Linked DNA regions of Schizosaccharomyces pombe. The gene in region 3 interacts genetically with the main gene of each other region. Each region holds a gene or a part of one and is shown on either strand. Other genes may lie near its edges. The genes, in order: npp1, mmb1, sce3 and rga3.

Evidence for each region.
Region 1: mutations in sce3 (region 3) and npp1 together harm fitness more than expected from each alone (negative genetic interaction), as found in Schizosaccharomyces pombe (one large-scale study listed by BioGRID).
Region 2: mutations in sce3 (region 3) and mmb1 together harm fitness more than expected from each alone (negative genetic interaction), as found in Schizosaccharomyces pombe (one large-scale study listed by BioGRID).
Region 4: mutations in sce3 (region 3) and rga3 together harm fitness more than expected from each alone (negative genetic interaction), as found in Schizosaccharomyces pombe (one large-scale study listed by BioGRID).

The regions. Positions count from the first base shown.
Region 1 is NC_003423.3:1,210,267-1,214,175, forward strand, and holds npp1 (nucleotide pyrophosphatase), read right to left. Parts: upstream 2,126-3,909; 5' UTR 2,087-2,125; coding exon 629-2,086; 3' UTR 525-628; downstream 1-524. Other genes in the region: 2-hydroxyacyl-CoA lyase Hac1, read left to right, coding at 1-360, 412-456; serine/threonine protein kinase Ppk31, read right to left, coding at 2,557-3,909.
Region 2 is NC_003423.3:2,608,148-2,612,355, reverse strand, and holds mmb1 (mitochondrial microtubule binder Mmb1), read left to right. Parts: upstream 1-1,715; 5' UTR 1,716-1,812; coding exon 1,813-3,318; 3' UTR 3,319-3,668; downstream 3,669-4,208. Other genes in the region: SPOM_SPBC25B2.08 (uncharacterized protein), read right to left, coding at 1-147; BTB/POZ family ubiquitin-type ligase substrate adaptor Btb2, read left to right, coding at 3,986-4,048. UniProt on the Schizosaccharomyces pombe protein: Involved in the cell polarity process and in regulation of microtubule growth. Has a role in meiosis. Involved in microtubule dynamics.
Region 3 is NC_003423.3:1,774,636-1,778,957, forward strand, and holds sce3 (translation initiation factor), read right to left. Parts: upstream 2,335-4,322; 5' UTR 2,263-2,334; coding exon 2,259-2,262; exon of another isoform or gene 2,222-2,258; coding exon 2,211-2,221; exon of another isoform or gene 2,170-2,210; coding exon 2,079-2,169; exon of another isoform or gene 1,915-2,078; coding exon 854-1,914; 3' UTR 534-853; downstream 1-533.
Region 4 is NC_003424.3:5,123,003-5,130,697, forward strand, and holds rga3 (Rho-type GTPase-activating protein Rga3), read right to left. Parts: upstream 6,032-7,695; 5' UTR 5,837-6,031; coding exon 2,927-5,836; 3' UTR 2,231-2,926; coding exon of another isoform or gene 1,778-2,230; 3' UTR 1,612-1,777; coding exon of another isoform or gene 1,390-1,611; 3' UTR 326-1,389; downstream 1-325. Other genes in the region: SPOM_SPAC29A4.22 (uncharacterized protein), read left to right, coding at 1,390-1,611; protein mug108, read left to right, coding at 1,778-2,230; RNA polymerase I upstream activation factor complex subunit Rrn5, read right to left, coding at 7,053-7,695. UniProt on the Schizosaccharomyces pombe protein: GTPase-activating protein for Rho-type proteins.

The DNA.
Region 1 (3,909 bases), 560 kb from region 3:
GCCCATTCATCCGACAAAATAGTGGTAGTTGAGGGTGATAGTGCTTTTGGCTTTAGCGCCATGGAACTGGAAACCGCCATACGCAACCAGCTGGATCTTTTGGTAATTGTAATCAATAATAATGGTGTTTACCATGGATTAGATACTGATGCTTATGAAACTTTACGTGATAATCACCAATTACCGACTACTGCCTTAGGCACTAGTATACGTTATGATCAAATTTGCGAAGCATGTGGTGGTAAAGGTTTCTTTGTAAAGAATGAAGAAGATTTGAGAAGTTCCCTCAGGAAAGCATGGCAAACCTCATCTGTATCTCTCATAAATGTTATGGTGGACCCGGAGGCTGCTCGAAAATTGGTAAGTATTAATGGAATGAATTAGGTATAAGAACAAGCTAACAATCACTAGACATTTGCATGGATGAGCAGTACCAAAGTGAAACCAAAGTTATGACCATCATTTAATTAAAAATAGAAGAAGTGATGTTCTTTTACGATTCTTAAAAATCGGAATACAGTTATTGTTGCTATTCAAATAAAGTCGTTTATTAAAAAAAAGTATTAAATATAATCTAAAGGAAATTAAAAATATTAAAAAATATAAAGATAGTGATAAAACAGCAGAATTAAATAAGCTTAGAGTATGCTTGTTCTATGTCCTTCAGCAACCATTCCTTAGTAGAATTACGATTTCTTCTTAAAGGTAAAGCACCTTCATATGTACCATTATTAGGCTGAGCTGGTAAATCTAATATATGCGAAAGAATGCCATAAATTTCGGTGTTCTGGAACGGTGCAAGCTTCTTTCCCTTAAAATTCTTAAAAGAAGATCCTGAAGCGATAAAAAGTGCTCTCATCACTGGAGACAAATTGTCATAACCATGTACACCCAAAGGCTCATACTCCAACTCCGGTGAATGATCCAGCATCGAGACAAGAGACCATCCAACATCCGGGATCATCCAAACGGGAGCTATTCTTTCATTATTTGAGTAATGCCATCGAGAAGGTATATCTTTCTTTGAATAAACATTCCAATTCTCAGCAGAAGGTAATGACGAGCGAGAATAATTAACAAGACTTTCGTAAATGTACTCATCATCTAAATCAGATTCTCCTCTAAAACCTCCTAACGGCCAAGCATCTCTGTGTGCAACGGCAGACAAATTAAACATATTATCCAGCCAGATAAGACGATTATCGGATGTAGGCGCCATTCCATGATCACTTAAAAAAATAATGTTGACATGCTTATCGATATTTCTTTTCTTCAGTCCTTCAATTAGTTCACCAATTACGATATCAACTTCTTGAATTATGATATTCAGTTCAGGCGAATCCGGTCCAAATGCGTGCCCAACCATATCTACATGGGGAGCATAAGCAAGTAATAACTGAGGGCGGTCTTTATCAGGAAGATCCAGCCATTCGAGTATTCTATCTTTCTTTTCTCTTAGAGTCGTATCAAAATTGAAACCATCCGAATAAGTAGGTCTGTAACCATGATTCTCCACTTCATTTCCAGGCCACATATGTACCGCTGATCGAACGTTATTTCGCTCAGCGTTGACCCATATAGGCTCCCCTTTATCCCACCAAGTTGGGTCTTTGTTACATTCAGGCATACTGTTGACAAATTGCTTCCCAGTTACAGGATCAAAAAAGTTGTTACTAACGATTCCATGGCTCTCGGGATATAAACCGGTAACAATAGTATAGTGATTAGGGAAAGTTATACTAGGAAAAGAAGGAATCAAAAAGGGAACATGGACATTACGTTCAGCCAGGCTCAGAAGATTAGGTGTGAACCCACGATATAAGTAATCAGCACGGAATCCATCCAAGGAGATTACGATGACAGTGGACTGAAAAACATTGGTCCCATTGTTGAAGGAACCTCCAACGATAGGAAAAATAATTGCTTTGAAGCAAAATAATTTCACAATTGCCAATATCAGAATTCCTAAAATGCAAATAGCGGCAATTGCTAGTCCCGATCGTTTTGCCCATTGATTCAAATAAGCCTTTCGATCATTTTTCAAAGGCAAATACTCGTTGGACCCAATATTAGCCCAACTAAACATTTCGGCGAATGTTCAAAATCAATGATATAAAGGAGTATTGTTAGGTATATCATATAATCTGTCAAATAATACTTACTTGAATAACGATGCGAAAAATATTGTTAAAATCATTTAACGCTTTCAAAGATATGCGGTAAACACTTTGTTCTAACTTACTTCAATTCGTAAACTATTCAGTCCTCTTAAATGTTCTGTCGTATAGGAAATGTCATCCTTTGAAACGTTTAGTGAAATGAGATAGCTTTTTTTCATATATGAAATTCAACTATTAATAATATTTGGATTCAAGGAGGAAACATCAACTTATGTTAGAAGCATTATTTGGCTAAAGCCTCAGAATAAAAGATTTTGTAGAACAAGTTTATTTGTCTTTTTACTGTTTCTGTATGGAAATATTAATTAACCATTTTTCAACTTATCATGATTCGTTCTGGATAGCGAACATGTTATGTCTATGGTTTTACATGATGTTAAAATAAATGGTAGCGATACTTTTTGTTAGGTCGTTTCTGAATTCGAAATTTCTCTTTATTTCTTTGTTGATTTTTGGGGAAATCGACCTCATCATACATTCGCAAAAGCGTGGCTTTGTTGTTGTAATTAAGGGCCTTTAAGTCTATTCCCTTAAACGCTTTGGTTATTAGTGAAAAAAGATCTTTTCGTTTTTGGTCTGTTAAATTTGTGGTCTCCTCCTCGGACGCAGAGAAAGCAGCTGAGTTTGAGGTTTCAGTACCACTGTCAGCTGGTGTTGCTTTTGGAGGAGGATGAAAAGCAAAAATACCATTTAGAATTAAAGTTGCTGACGTCTGACAATTATTTTTATTAATATTATCCGAACCGCTTATGTTTTTTTCAAAGTACGTCAAATCTTCAACATTTTCTGTTTGTGGAACGAACGGACCTGGCCCACTATTTAAATTATCCCATTTAATGGTTCGAAAAAAAGGATGTTTTTTGATTTCCTGGTATCCATTGCTACCCAGCCGTTTGTTACAGTCTGGATCCATGAGTTTGGTGATTAAGTCTACCGCCTCCTTTGAGCAGCTTTCTTTCACTCTTTTAGTCCAACCAATATCATTTCTCTCTATGCGAGCCCATATTGCTTTTACAGTATTTGCTTCAAATGGTCGCGTGCCAGTCAACATTTCGAATATCACACAACCCATCGCCCATATATCGCCCATCTGAGTATCAACGCCCATTAAAATTTCTGGAGCCATATAATTTGGCGTCCCTGAAATATCTTTTTTGATGAATGTCCGGTTTTCCTTTTTCTCTAACTGATTCATTAACATGTGTATTGCTGTTTCATCCATGTTATTGATATCAAAGTCAAGTAAATGCTGGACCGAGTCATTGGCATAATCACTATTTTGCTGTGGACTCTCCGCTTTCTCAAGCTCATCAATATTCCCGCGGTAATTTCGAACATATCTTACAAATTCGAATTTTTTAGGTTGAAGCTGCTCATACAAATTTCCATGTTTCTGTTCAAATGACATCCTCTTAGTAAGCTTATAAACCTCTTTTTTTTCCTCTACGTTTTCACTCAGTCCGAAGTCTGTAAGCCGAATATGTCCTGTTTCGTCAACCAACATGTTGGCAGGCTTTATGTCGTGATGGATGATTCCATCCTGATGCAAAAGCTCGATAGCATTTAGTAATTCAGCTGCGTACTGGCAAACCCATTGCTCTGGTAACGGTCCTAATTTTTGAATAAGTGTTTCACAATCTCCTCCATTAAAATAATCCATTACAAGGCATAGGTAGTCCCCAGAATCAAATGCATAATATAATTTCACTGTGTTTGGTCCATATCTTTG
Region 2 (4,208 bases), 830 kb from region 3:
GGTATTTAATTTTTCACTCGATATACATAACTTAGAGGGATCTTCAATGTTGACAGAAGTAGGAAGTTGCGATGGACTGCGCATATCATTTGCCTGCGCATCATTAGTGCCTTGACGGGTATAACTGGAATTTTGATGTGGAAGCATGGTAATAAATTTTAAGAAAAAGAGAAAATAAAAGTAAAATGGAAACAAATCACAATCAAAGGTGAAGTGATGGGATTAAAGGTTTTAATGAGAAAATAATTCGACAAATATGTAACAAAGGGAAACTTTTTTTTTGAATTACACGAAATGTTTTCAAACTTGAATTATGCACAAAATTAGAGAAACCTGAGAATAATAAATAAGCTTGATAATCCAAATAGCCAAGGGATTAATGGGATATAGGGTTGTAGTGATATTTCGGGTGTTTAATTTATTTAGAAATGGGTATAAAGTCCAGACTGTAAACAGAAAATAATCAGTAAACGAAATCTTTAGTGTTCCGTCCGAAAGAAGTTACCCTAACGAGATATGAAATTATGCGAACAGACGAAGTTTTAGAAGCCGACAATTGAATAAATAAAGGATCAAACTTGCTTAGTTTTATCGAAGGAAGCAAAGCAAGAGAACCGTGAGTAGGAAATAGAAAGTGAACAGTAATAAAAAAAAGTAAAACAGTAGGGAACGTTTTCTTAGAGCTTATTACAATTACGAAAAATAAAGCTTATCCCAATTGAGATAGTTAAAAAAAAAGGAACGAAATAAAACGATATGAAAGACAACAAAGGATGGAAAAACAAAAACAAACCGCTGAATGAATTAATCAAAAGAAAGCGGAAAAATTAATAAATACTCATCAATAGAGTAGCACAAGATGAAGCGAAGGGAGTAGGACAAGGCGTTAAGCCTGCGTTTAGTCTGAACAATAGATATAGACTAAAAAGTGAAAGACGGAATTTCAAAGTCTTAATTGGGGTATTCTATGTATATATACGTCCATATCTGGTAACATTTGCAAACCGTCTTTGATGTCAATTTAATAAGGAACCGAAGGTAACTTGCACACCTTGAGCAGTGACTGGGAGTAACACTCTCCTTGACATTCCCTCGGTACATAGGAGACGAATGAACCGAATGAACAAATAAACTAGATAGTTGCCCAAAAATGCACACAAAGCATTATCACTTTTATTAATTCAAATAACGACATACCAAAGTCGTAAAAGTTGGTAACAAACTCTTCAAATGATATTTCTACTATAACATTTTTCGTAGTACTTACCACTACGGGAGATTTGTAGAATCGGTATGATGCTGTGGAAGAAGAGTTATAGCGGGTTTCCTCAATGTGTACATGTTATTCTCATTGTACACTTGCATCTTAATTTTCACATTGCTCTCTCCCATCAATGATTTGCTTTGGAAAAACAACGGGAACAGAAATCTGGGAGGGAACGGAAAAGTATATTCATAGCAATCACAATTTAACGATAATTATTATGGTCAAATGAATACATATATTGAAAAGAATCGGTCAGCTGGATAGAAAATATGTAAACAGTGCAGCACTTATGAAGGTAATTTTATTTGTTTGCATCAGGTAGCAAGAGTTTTACGGGGATTAATAGAATTCGTTATATATACACTAACAATATAGGACGTAGTTTGTTATTGCTACCTAGTGTTGGGCGATACCAGCTAACGGTGTAGTGTATTTGGCTTTCTCTTTTGTGCATTCAGGGTTGTTGATTGCGAGTCTTATTCAATTTTATTCTGCCAATGCCGGGTTCACCAAGCCAAGAGCCTTTGGCAGAGGCCGAGTCTAATATGCTTCAAAGACTGGAGCAACTACAAATGCAAACATCGAATATTCTCAAGGAACTGCATTCTACGTCGATTTTCACGGATTCTACCACCTCACAACTTCATAATGGAGGTGAGAACTCTGTAATGGATACTGAGGAATCCTCGGCTATTGATAAATTAAGTGCCTCTTTACAGCAAGTAAACATTTCTTCACCATCAGTTCCTACCTCTCAATCTCGGGTTACCCAAGGCCAGTCATTAGGAAATACCCAAATATCTAATCCTACTTCAAAGACTAATAATGTACGAGCCAAAGCTCGGAATATTCGTAATCCCTCTCAACGTCTTCGACCCTCGACTAGTTTGGCCAGGTTATCAAATAACGCACCTCGCATTCCCAAAGAGGCATCACTACATGAGAATTCAATTTCTTCCAAGGAATCTCCTTCTGTAACGACCTCTAAACATGTCGCTACTATTACAAAACCTTCAACGTCGTCTATCGCCCGAATGTCCTCAAATGCTAGAATTGCTGCTATTCCGAGAGCGAAATCTTCAATGGCAGTTCGTTCACCATCACGCCTTGGTAATGGCCCGAATGTGCGCTCACCAAAGGTCGGCTTCAATGCAAAGTCGGATGATAGCCCCGTCGTCAAATCTCCTGGCTCTAACGACAAGCCTTCAGCTTCTCCTCGAATTTCTGTTCGTTCTCTCGGAAATTCTTCTGTCGTTCGTCCACCCACAAGGACTTCCACCACCCGTCCATTATCTAGAGTTAACGTAACAAATGCTTCCGGAAGTATCTCAAAGAATTCTACTAGTCCTTCCAAAGTAAAAGTCAACGCATCGACCAAGATCGTGCGTCCTGTAAGTGCAGCTCAGACTGTCCGACCGGGATCCAGAATCTTCAGAGAAAACTCTGCGTCCAATACTCAAAGACCCAACGTCTCTGCCACTTCTAACTCAACTGTTCGGGTAGCTTCTTCATTAGCTGTACGACCTGTTTCACGTAACGCGCAGGCGCGTACTCCCTCAAGATTAGAACAGAGAGAAGTTAATGTGAAAAATTCATCAGCTAAAATCGTTCGTCCAGGTACTTCTTTAGGTGTTCGTTCACCTTCTCGCATTCAATCCACTCTCTCTTCGAGGACAACTACAGGCAATGTTCGTACTAAAGCGGCTAATATCGTTCGTCCTTCTTCATCAATCAACCGTCGCCCTCCTTCGTCAATAAATCAACGCCCTCCTTCAAACTTGCGCATTTTGGCTCCATCTCGCTCGCGTGCAACAATTCATGAGAGACCAAGCAGTTCAATTTTACACAGGCATGCCCATTCACTAACTTCTTCATCCTTTTCCACTAAAACATTGGCTACAACCAAAGAAATTCAGAATTCGCCTACTTTGGTAGAGTCTTCGACAGTCGTTCATCATGATCCTTCTTATCTTCAAAACCAAACTTCCGAAATTAACGATACTAATCACTCTTCTCATTCGTCACCTTTGGACCTTAACAGAATGATATAAAAGTTGAGTGAGCTGCTGTAATTTGATGGCTTCTGTTCCATTTACACTTATTATTCTGCATAATTTATATCACATGTAGATGTTTTATCATAAGGATATTATTATTAAAAATAAGACAAACCATACGGGAAGAATTGGATGTTACGATTTGATATATTACTTTGTATTACTTAAGATCAGCTAATTAATAGCTTTTAAGCTGAAATTATGTTGCATAGGTTTATTCAGTTGAAAGCTTCACGACTGACTTGATGATAGTCGAGAAGTTTAGAGGGATGCGCTCTGTGTTAAAATTCAGCATGCAGCAACATCAGCATACAACCGATATGTAATAAATTAACATTAACAAACTGGCATTGTTTTCGTGCTCTATCAACTATCAGCAGTAAGTAATTGAAGACATTATGAAGTAAATGAGATTGCTGCATTACTAATTCATTTAGCAAAAAATTAAGTAAATAGAAGGGTTAATTTGTGCAACTTGTACGGTATATTTTGGATAGCGCAATTACGTTACGATTCATAACTGCAAGAATATCGAGCTACTCCAGTGCGCTTTCCTTAGGAAACCAAAACAATATTTTAGTACCTTTTTTTTAAATATTACTGACGAGTTTCATTCTGATTTCTTTTTATTACTCCTAACGGATGTGGCTTTAATACAATCATGTCAATGAACAGCTCAACGGAAATTTCTCAAGAGCCCTCTATAATGAAACCGGTATCTTCAGTAAGTATTTTTGCTATTTGAACTTCTGCGTACCTTGAGTCTCAGTTCTTGTATGAACTTTACTCTCAAATTAATGGTTGTTTGCGTAGTTAATTATTTTGGATTTATTGTTAAATCGTTCATGTTTTGTTTAACGATTTCCAAACAAAAAAAGTCTGAA
Region 3 (4,322 bases):
GATTCGCAAAATCCATTAATGTTGTAATTTGAAGCAACTTTCTCGTTTGTGTCTTCATTAATTACACCAAGGCTTTCTAGGTTAAGCTGAAAGAAAAGCTAATTTTTTCAACTGACTACTTAAGCAGTTTTGACTTTACCAATTCGACTTTCATTATTACAACTTATGCTGTACATTCTTTTTTTTAATATCTATAATATTAAATATTTATGAGATCAAGCGAAGGCCCCTTAACTCAGTTGGTAGAGTGTGAGATTCCAAATCTCAAAGTCAAGTGTTCAAGTCACTTAGGGGTCATATTTTTTATAAGTTTTTATCCTGTGTTCAAAGGCATAGCAAGTTTTAAGAACACATTTGTCATAAAGATTTAACAATATAACTCTCATATCCGTTGAAATAGCTGGTTCACTTCATACGATAGTATTGACTTTTAATGACCATTAATCTTTGCTAAGACGGCAAAGTAATATATACTACTATTAATTACATGACAAAAAACAAACATACATCGACATATAAGTGCAAAACAAATTTTACTATAAATTTAACCTAAAACGACCAAGGCACCATTATAAGAATAAAATCAACGAAAAGTATGCTTAGTCAACCCGCTTTTTTCTATATGCAATTGAAACAGATGCAAAGCCGATGGGCGGAACCAGAAAATATCAAAACAGAAACAAACAAGAGATCTTAAAATATAAGTTAGCAGCTAATCTCTCGATTTAATGGAAAAGTGTATGTGTTTATTTATACCTGTTTTATTATATAGAGAACCCCAAAACAACGATATTAACATTACTTCCATATTTATGTCAAAGCGAAATAACATAAAATTGACATTTTTTAAGGTTTAGTGTTTACGGCCTTTGCCAATCTTCGTCCAACCCTCTTCTTCTTCTGCTTCGCCAGCGTTTGTGGCAGGAGCATCCTCAGTGGCAGGAGTCTTAGTCGCAGCGACCTCCGAATCAGTTTCGGAACTCTTTTTCTCACCGTCTCCTAAACGGATATCTGATACTTTCTCAGCAATAGCATCTGTTTTATCGGTCTTTTCAGCCTTATCAGCGGAAGGCTTTCTAGAAGTAGAACGCTCACGGTTAGCATTGTCCTCGCGACGGAAGCTCTGAGTACGCTTGGCAAGTTTTTCCTCAACACGTTGAAGCACGGATGTATTGTCTACGGGCTTGGCACCACCGAAAGGATCTCTTTTAGGCTTGGAAGATGTAGTAGTGGTAGCAGAGGGAGTAGCTTCGGTGTTGACGTTGGAGGAGGAACGAGGTTTTAAGTTAAGACGAGGGCGCTCAGAGGATTCACGTGGAGGAAGGGGTCCACGACGAACCCATTCACGTGGCTCTTCACGAACACGATCGGAAGGATCACGAGCAGGATCACGGAAACGACCACTGTTGGTACGTCTCTTGCCAAACGGAGATTCAGCAGGTTCAGCAGGAGGAAGAGGTCCACGACGAACCCAGTCACCAGTAGAGCGTTCTTCACGGGCAAATGAACGACGAGGCTCTGCAACAGTGATGCGGACTGGACGTCCCATCAAATCCTCACCGGATAAGGCTAAAGCGGCGCTCAAGGTATCAGCGGTCTCAAATTCAACATATCCAAAGCCACGAGAGCGTTCAGTGAGAGGGTCAATGACGAGGCGAATGCTAGTGACACCTTCGCCGAAAAAGTCGCCCAAATCGTTTTCTGTTAAGTCAAAACTCAAGTTTCCAACATGAGCTGTAAAAGGGGGTTCAGAAGGGATGGGAATGGCATCACGTTGGTAACCACTTCCCATTCCACCCTCGCGACGGCTTTCGGGAGGACTTCTAACTGACTCAAACGTGGAAGAAGGAGCATTGTATCCGGCGTCAGCAGAGCTAGGAGTAGCACGATACGTAGATGTGGTGCGGTCTTGGGCTAATAGATAAATTGAGTTAGCTAAGCAATTTCAAAAGATTAAATAGAAAAATGATGGAGCCCAAAAATGAGAGCCGAAAATTAATAGAAATTTTCGGATTCCTAAAAAACACCCCACTCCAATTCAATCCAAAATTTTCCATTATAAAAAACAAAATACTTACGCAAAGCTGGCAAATCATCAATATCATCAGCCCAGTTAGTCGAACCAAACGACTCGTCACCCAAAAAGGCGTTCAAACTCATTTTCGTACTCTGATATCGTTCAGCAAACATGCCTAATTACCTAAACAAACCTTTTTCGGACCTATTATTAATAACTCATGATCAAAAACACAACTTGCCCATTATGAAATATTTTCTTTTAGATCTTCACTTTTTACTAACAAGATCGTTTTCTTCGTCGTTCTCGACAGATTTAATATTTGCGATTCTTGGCGCGCTGGTCCACAAGAGCGTAGCCCAGTGATGCCGTGACTGCTCAATAGTAGAACGACTGAAGCATTCCCGCCTGCTGTATTTGCTAAGGCGAGAAAAAGGGAGAATTGGGAGACGTCTCTATTCCTCACAGTCATGGATAATGAGGATTAAATCATTTCGGTAAATCAAGCATGGAGGAATTTTTGTGAATGTGAGCATTATAATCGCATAACGATAAGTAGCGTGTTGAGCAAAGAGGATTGGATGGAAGTAGTTTTTTTATTGTAAATAAATCAATGGAAAATTGGATATGGAACCATTGTAGCGTTTGCAATTTGATGGAAAGTCTTTTTTTTGGGATTATATACTTGTGATAGGAGAAAATGATTTTCCTTTTTTTTTTTTGAAAGAAGTCCGTATTTGATGTCAGCTTTCACAAATCTAATAATTCCTATAAAATAATAGTTTAAAAAAAAGTTCTTGAAGTTCAATCAGAAAACAGAGATTTGATTTTGCGATAAACCAAAAGCAAAGATTAAAATTGGCTTTACGATTTGTTCAACCATGGTTTGACATTGAAGTAAATCGCTATTGAAAAAACGTATCATTGATAAATGATAAATGATTTATTATTGAGCTCGATCAACAAAAAACGAGAACGTTATAGTCTCAAGGGATGAATGATGATCAGTTTTGTACACCATTGAATTTGTTTTTGAGAGTAATAAACTTAAACTTCTCAGCGAACTGGACTGTTTGGACAGTGTTTAGACTTCATTTTTTGCAGATTCCTTTTCTAATATGGAATTATAACAAAACAAAAACACATTGGCTTAATTATAGGGGAAAGGAAAAGGAAAAGGACGCGTGCTTGCACAGAAATGAATCGATGTTTTGGATACAAACGTAAACAAGACAATAAGGTGGTGAAGCAAAATTGCAAGGAATTTTTCTAATCTAAATACGGCGATTTTGAAATTCATTTCTATTCAGCTTATCATCCTTTTTTCATTCACTGACACAGTATTATCTTTTAACGTTGTATGACGAGATGCATTAGTCTATGCTTAACAAGTTGTGTAATATGAGAGACAAGACAAGAAGAATTGGGAATTCCAGAATATGTGCAATTGATAATATCTACACGATTTTTAAAAGATATATCAAGTTACGAAAGTTGATCCATTGTTGGTACATTTTAAGTTCCCGCATTAGAGTTAAAGGGCCGCCGCTTCTGCCAATGTTTATCATCAAAGGCTGGTTGGGATAGTAAGAGAAAATGAGGATGATACAGTTTTCAATTGATATTCGGATGTTTATTATTTTATTATTATTTTTTTAGACAATTGTCTTTGATCTATATTCAATGTGAGCTGAGAGCTGAGTGGAGAACGAAAAATTTCTGAAACAATAAAAAATCCATTAAAATATATTAAAATCATAATAATGTTAGAAAAAAAAAATCGAAAAAATTAATCAAAGGGTTTCATTGACTTGGAGCAAAGATAAAGGAAGAATTTGAAAAGAAAGTAAAATCTAATAAAAGAAACGTGTGAATTTGAAATTAAAATGGAATGGTCTTTCTTTTTTTCTTGGTGGGACGCAGTCATTTATTTAATTACCGACCAGCCCTTTTTAACAATTAGATAACAAAGAAAACCGATTTATTTCATTTTATATTTTTTATGTCACTTGTTTTTTTGTTCAAATTCACTCTTCTTATGATTTCTTTCTTCTCAAGGATTCTTTATGTTCATTTTCTTTTATTTACAAAGAAGCATCCGCATAAAGAGGTATTGTTTACAACAAACAAATGGTTGCCATCCAGGTTGCGAACCAATCTAAAAATTTCATTCAATTCCTTTATGCCATTTCTAAATTCAATTATATATTTTAAAAAGGAATTTATAATTTAAAAGATTCTATAAAAATCGTGGCTTTGAAGGATTTCCCAACATGCTGGTTTCATTAGCCCTACACCCCCAAAA
Region 4 (7,695 bases), on a different chromosome or scaffold from region 3:
AGTGAGCTCATCCACAGTGAATAAAAAGAAAGTCCAAATAAAGGTTATTTTCGTTATAATACAAAGATGTCGTAAAGAACGACGATCAAAGAAAAACAAGTGAGCAAAAAGGAAACTCTAAAAAAAAGAGAGAGAGAGAGAGAGAAACTCTCCGAGTATGTGTGTGTGTATGTTTGAGTCTCTTTTGTGTATGCGAGAAGAGAAAGACAGCAGGAAAATAAAGAAGAAATAGAAATAGAAATAAAAAGTCAAAACTATTTATTGTAGCTCAATGAAAGCCAGTATCTCACGCTGACCAAAAAAAAAATGAAAAGAGAAAGAGAGCAGAAAAAAAAAAAAAAAAGTTATTGAAAACAAGAAACAATCAAAACCATCTATTTCAAGATGACATGTATGACAAAGAACGCTAGTCAAAAAAAAGGCAATTCATACAAAGAAATAAAAAAAAAAAGAGAGAGAGAAAACAAAGGACTCCTATAATCATAAAGCAAGATTACCAACAATGGACAGAGATGGATAAAGAAAACCAATGGTGGAACAAAGACAAAAAAAAAAGAAAAAGTGGAACAAAACAAAATGCGAATCAAAGAAATTGAACAGAAAATTGAGCAAAAAAAACTTTAGTTCTGAGACAAACAAACAAAAATTTTCATCTTCTTTAACTTTTTCTTTCTTTTTTTTTTCTTTTTTCTTTTATGTTTTTATTTCTTCCATCCATTATTGATGTCTCGTTTGAATCCCTTTCTTTCACCCACCCCTCTCTTCCTGCAGTCTTTTTCGTCATGCCATTACCCCATCTTTTCAGGTAGCATCGACTCAGCCTTGTGACTCCAAGTGTGGGGAAGCGAAGGCGGAGAAAAAAGGGATTAGGAAGGGTGTCGATCATGACGCAATGCCATAACATCTCTGATGCACAACACCGTATTATAGACTGACTAAGCTTGCCGCGGAAATCAATTAATTGTCAAGAAGGCAGAAAAAAGAAAGAAAGAATATAAAACAACAACATAAAGCAAAAATAGAAAAGACATAAAAAAAAGACTGACCCTCTAAAGTCTTGTTTCCTTTTTGTTTTTCTCCTGGACAATTAAAACGACGCTTGTTTTCCGTGCCATACTTGAGACTGCGATACCACGGGATGAACAGCCTCTTCTAAACCAACCTGCCATTTTCTCTTCTTTTCCTTCATCCATCCATCAATCATACTTCGTCCTGCTTACTTGTGTGCTCCATTGCATTATCACCAAACCCTCCTCCTCCTCTTGGCCTGTTTCGTAAACCCACTTAACGGATCTCGCCGAGGTACACACTCACGGAAATATGCTATATGGGTGGTGGAAGTGAAGAGGTTGGCGCCACGATTGCAGTGGATGACGATGCTGGATAACAATGGAGTTGCGGGTGAAAGGACGAGTAAGGCACACTTACATTCAATGTAGCAACCCAATACGTATGACATTTGGCCACAGCAAGGAGATAAATAGAAGGTTGGGCACTAAGAGTGAAAATTCCATTCCCAAAATACAGTACATATATATTTCATCCTTCGTAATAACAAATACCGAATCGTATTCATATCCACCCTTATTGATCATCAGCGAGTCAAGCTAAATTACCCACCCACTGACAATCTAACAACAACAATAACAAAACAAACAATAACCAATTGAGTTGAAAATTGTTATTGACAGTCCAATCCAATCCAAATCCAAATCAATTTGAAATTGAATTTCATCCAATACTAATTGACTAATCGAATTTCTTCAAATCCACCGCAATGGCAAATCGTTTTACTTCTAGTGATCAAACTCAAGAAACCCATGGTCATCATGTTGACAAACACTCCTTCTCCGGTAGACAACGCCATCCTTCGATGGGCGTTCATTCATTCAACGAATACATGAATGAATATCCAGAGGCCGGACCTTTGGTCCAGGAAGAGGAGGATGACATGGAGAGCTCCAGCTACCATGCCACTCAGGAAGATATCGGCGACGATGACTCCAGGTCCGAGTCTACTCGCAACCGTTCCAGTCAACATACTGGCCGTGTTAATTTCTCGTCTCTTGGCGGTCTTGGCAGCATCTTTGGAGGAAAGAAATCACGCTCCAAGAGCGCTAATGGAACACAAAAGAAAAATGCAAACAATAACGAGGAACAACTTGATGAGGAAGAGCAAAACGATCCTTATCTTGATAGGGATATAAGCCTTTTAGGTAGTACTATTTGATTGCTTTTGTTTTTTTTTTCTTACTCCCTTGTAATTTTTATTTTTTGATTAGTCATACCCTGACTGACAATGTTGCAGATTACATTTAATTATGCCATCCATCCCCTTTCACGTTCACTGCCATTCATCCCTCACCATGTTCCCCATACCATTCTTTGAGATTTCGAGACATGATGGCACGACCGTAGTGTTTGTGTATGTATGTGTCTTTGATGAGTTGTTTATGTTGTGTTTATGTTCAAGTTATGAGAAACGAAATACTCGAACCAAATCGAGTTGAGTTCTGTTTAGTATCGTTAAAAAGAGTTTGTTTTCTTTTTTTTTTATCAAATTAGCATTATATTTTCCTTATTTTGCATCTCGCAATGCTTAATGGCAAATATCTTTATACAATCTCCATTTGCGTGCGTATTTATTTGTATCTGATGAGCGTGCGTGTGCTTGCCTGCTTGTCATAATGTACATCCTGTATTACCCAGTTTGAATAGTTCAGTCGTAAATGTAAGAGTGTTATGCTAATATCTTTGTTTTCCTTTTTTCATTAAAAAAAAGAGGTGTAAAAAAAGTCTCATTATTTCTTCGAAAAGTATTCCTTATTGAAGTTTGGAACACAAGTGGTTATTATTATCGTAAAGTTCCTTCTTCCCTAGAAAAATACAAGTTCCCCGATATTTTAATCATTATTCATAAAACAAGCTACAGATTATGAAGAATCTTATCCACGTTATCAAGCATAAACTGAAGAGCCGTACTCTTTTTGGTAGCATGCTGTAAATCAAACCGATTCACCTTATCTCGCATTAAAGTAGGTGCAAATACTGTAGAGACATTTTTCGAGTTCATCAAATTTTTCTCCGCGTGCTTGCATACACGACCCAAATGTGCAATCAAAAATCGAAATACGCTCAAATGTGCAGGATGAAGCGTTTTCATTACTTCCACTACCCGTTCAATTTTTTCCTCTTCCTTTTCGATTTTTTCCGCTTCCAACAACTCCTCGTATTGAGTGCCAGGTATAACTGGTTCCGGTAAGCGATGCAAATATGTTTTCAAAACCGACGTACAGGCAAACAAGTCAGAAGTCAAATGCTCCATTCGGATAGACCCGTTTTCAAATTCGTCGACTAACACTCGGACCTGAGAAGCACTGCCAGATATCCTATAAATACCTTCAACCTCCAATCCATGCGCATCCACGCAAGAAACGCACATAGCAATTACTTGAGGCAAAACCGACCCTTCAATTTTCAATTGATTTTCTAACGATCGTCCAAACATCGTTGGTGAAGGCCCAGGAGGAGGCATCCTCGTTGGCATTTCCGGCATCCATTTACTATTTTCACTTACAGTTTCACTCATTGTTTTCTCATGCTCCGACTCTGCAAACAGCCTTTTTAAACACCGCGAATGGCATGAAATTGAGCAATGAAAGCAGCGGAGTTCAGATCCCCATACGCTCTCCGAGCATATATAACACCTTGAGGGCTTGAATATGGCATTAACATGAAACACATGGTCACATTGAGTACGATCTTCATTTCCTACTACAGGATCGGCAGACTTTGATTTAGTATGCATTGATTTGAACGGGACTTTACGGTTTACATCTCTTGGTTGCAAATGCATACTTCCCTTTTTTCCCTTAATGTCAATTCTCGTAGTCACATTCAAATTTGGTGACAACGGACCAGGTCGACCTGATGACTGCCCAGAGTTGCTACTCACGGCAGTAAGTGGATTAATACTGCTGGTTGTATTTTTGGAAGATGTGGTAATAGTATGCTCCAAATTGGATTGGTTTTCAGGAGGTACTCTATGCTGAATTTGTTTTACCAAATTGTTGTTTAAGTCGGCCAACTCGAGATTTTTGGTATTTAGGTGTACAGATGCTTCAAGCGATTCATTTAAAATTTTTTGTACATTATTGTAATCGTCAAGCAGCTCATTTCTCCTTTCCAAAAGATTGTTTATTTCAGTGCCGTAACTCTCACGAAGCATTGCCATGTAAGCATTGGCGGCAGCCACCAAATCCTGATGTTTCGGATCTTTCAGCGTGGGATCATCTGTCACATCAGCAAACGAAAAAAACTTTTCACAAATTTCAAGTTTAGCCGAACGAACAGTATCCTTATCTTCCGTACGAATAAACTTAGAGTTGTCAAACGTAGAACTTGAGAGCCTTTCGGACAATTTTTTGGTAAGAGCAGTAAGATTTTCCAACTGTTCACGCAATTCTTCAACATCCGAATCTCGCTCTGATTGTGCTGGAGTTGAAGAATGATCGTTTGTCGGTAAATGGTACTCTCCATTAGATCCCAGCGAAGGAACGAGTGTTTGCTGAGAAGTCTCAGAAAGAGAATGCGAATGCCGAAAACTTTTATGGCCCCCGCCATTTGGTTTGGGAGAAAGAACCTGAGGCGGTGAAAGTAGCTGCGCAAAAGATGAAAGGTCAGATGGCTGAGAAGAGGTTTTTTTATGGGTTTGGACATTCGGTGAGCGGGTTCTCGGTGAATGCGTATCACTCGACCTGTAAGAGGGAGAAAAAGGCCGAAAGGGAGAGGTGGCATTGTGAAGAGAACGCATATGTCCATTCATGACAATTGGCTCTGCTCGGTCAGTCAATGACATGGTTTTATAAGGAGAAGCAGAGCCAGCAAAGTCGTCCAGGGCTTCCTCATTAATTGTGGGTTTTAAGCTGTCCGAGGAAGAGCTATCGTTAACAGGAGTAAAAGATTGTTTGTGAAACGTATGGAATCGATTCTTCCAAGTATTTTTGCTTAACGGAAATGTGGCTGTAGGAGACTCAATTTGTTGCTGCTTGTTAACTTTTTGTAACGGAGATATAGAAGGTGAAATAGGAAAGAAAGAATCGTCATACTTCATCGGCGATTCAAAACTCGTAAACGAGGAAAAACTTCGATTTTTGGCACTAGGCAGCAGCGAATCTGCAGAATTAGACGCAAGATTACTATCCTGTCCATCGTTCGGCACATTACCCCCTTCTGCCTGACTCATGTTAGTCGGTGTTTCGCTAACTAAGCGGTCTCTGCTTCCACCAAAAGGTGATAATGGTGGCTTTTGAGGAGACATAATTTCAATGCTTAAAGACTTATTAGATTCCACTGAAGACTTTGTCTCTGTGGGCTTAATCGTGACATCAACCTCAAAATTGTGATAATCAGCGCTCTCGTCTGAAGACCTGGAAGGGTGACGGACTTGTTTACAATCATTACAAAATATAGTCCTATTATCTCTTTTAAAGTTAGAGTCAATTATTTGCTTTCGGCAATCATGGCAACGAAAACACTCTCTGTGATAGGAGTCGTAGCCTGACATTAGGGCATAGTCCTTGATCCTCATACGACACGCTGTACAGGTATGGGCGCAAGAGCTACACACCGGTCGTCCATCAGAGGTTTGCACCAGCATTTGATCACTGTGCTCCAATCCTTTATCGCACTTCGTACAGCAGAAGCAATCCTTATGCCACATATGACCCCCAAACGAAATAGGTGTCTCTCTACGTTGAAATGCCTGTCCGCAGCGAAAGCATACTGTGCTTCCCTTGCTTGATGGAGATTTGGAAATACTTTTTCGAAATATCATCTTATCGTATATATGCTCTTCTTATTTCCTGCTAAACGTTATGAACTTCAATCTAGCGTCATGAATTTGGCTTTGTTGATTTTTATTTTCACAACGATTCCTTTGGGTACCTATTTTCATTCCTCAGCTTCCCATCAAGTAAATGAAAATATTCCCAATTTTATGATTGAAGTTCGAAACAATTGGTAAATGGCTAAGGAATAATTATTACTGCAGTTGTTGGCATCATTGCCCAGTGGAGCGGTGAGAACGGCAGTAGCGAGTCGTTCACTCTAATCCCTTAAAATTTGCATGCGTCGTACACATGGCACTATGGTCTTTGGCTTGCCTTGCCCTAGCCTAGCGAAACACTATGGAAATTATCGCCGTGTTCTACGATATGGTGCGTAAAATTGCCAAAAGTCACATGGTTTATTACGGGAGTTTAGACGAAACGGGTGTTATGAATAGCTATTAAATACGATTATAATATTACAGATAATTAATTTTAATGGGTTTGGCAGCGTTTCCGCTCTCTAGGCTTTTCTTTCCACTCAAAAATGGTGATATTTGTGAAAAGGGAAATTGCCGAAATTAGAAGGAAAAAGGAAAATGAACTGTTTTTCTGGCTTAAATAGCTTTACCTTTAGAAAAAACCCGCTAAAAAATGGTTAAAGATATATACATTCCTGATCAAAAAACACAGAGGACAAAAAAAAAGAAAAAATTTCGGTAGCAACAGGAGTAAACAGAAGGAGAGATGCTTTCTAGAGAAAAAAATTTTGTAGACGTTTGTAGCGTGAACGGTCGGATCGTCAAATAAAGGGACAAGAGAAAATGCTCGTTTCCAAAAAGTGTAGAATTTATAAAATGTGTATCTCAAATAGCGGGGTCGCTATAATTGATTAAGTAACTATTGCTTTTAAGAAGGAAGTAAAGGCTCCTAAAAAAAATTTTTATAGTTGTGGTGCGAATATTGGGACAATTATACGGAAGAAAGCAATCAGTTTTTAACAAAAAAAGTTTCAGAATATTGTGAACACTGGGACTCATCATTATAAATGGCAATAACTGATTGCTATAAAGAGGAAGTATTAAATTTTCTTTCTAGGAAAAAACAAACTTGGCAGAAAATGACGATAAAAAGAAAGGATTGCTATCCAACACAGAGGCAGCGCTAAAAAACAATTTATGTTTTTGTAAAGGCTTCAAGACTGTAGTTCGAAAATGAAGACATCTATTTTAAAGGGAGTGACAACTCCCAAGAAGAGACAGGTTTTGCAAGTTTCCTTTCAGGATCTTCTGTACTATTTGGAAGATTAGACAAATCATAGGATATTAACCCTACATATCCGCTTTCAAGTTCAGATACGACTTCAGCTGCACCCGGGGCATGGGAAACAACTGGATCCTTGTAATAATAACATATAGGTTGAACTTCATCATCACTATCGGAATGTTCGTCAATGTTGTGCAAGCTCTTGGAAGTTATTTTAAGAGTCGTAAACACGTCGGAACCTTTTAACTTGTCTTTCATTCGCTTTTGAGCCAGCAAATTACTAAGTGGTATAGTTTCAAAAAGAGCGTCCTCTGTCGACATCTCATCGGTTAAATGCAGCACATATTTCCAAACAAAGCTTTCGTAGTTTTTGGATTGAATCATGTCGTAGGCTTCGACGCTGTCATCAATTTCCACAAGACTTTCTTCTGCGACACTTTCATCCATGAACATTTGAGCATTATCAGGATACTCAGCCTGATTAACAGATTTCTTAAAACCATTGATGCTAGTCTCATCGGCGGGTACAGAATCTACCTTGCGCTTTACATCATGTTCTCCAAGGTTACCATCGCTTTCATCTGTCGAATGTTCCTTAGAA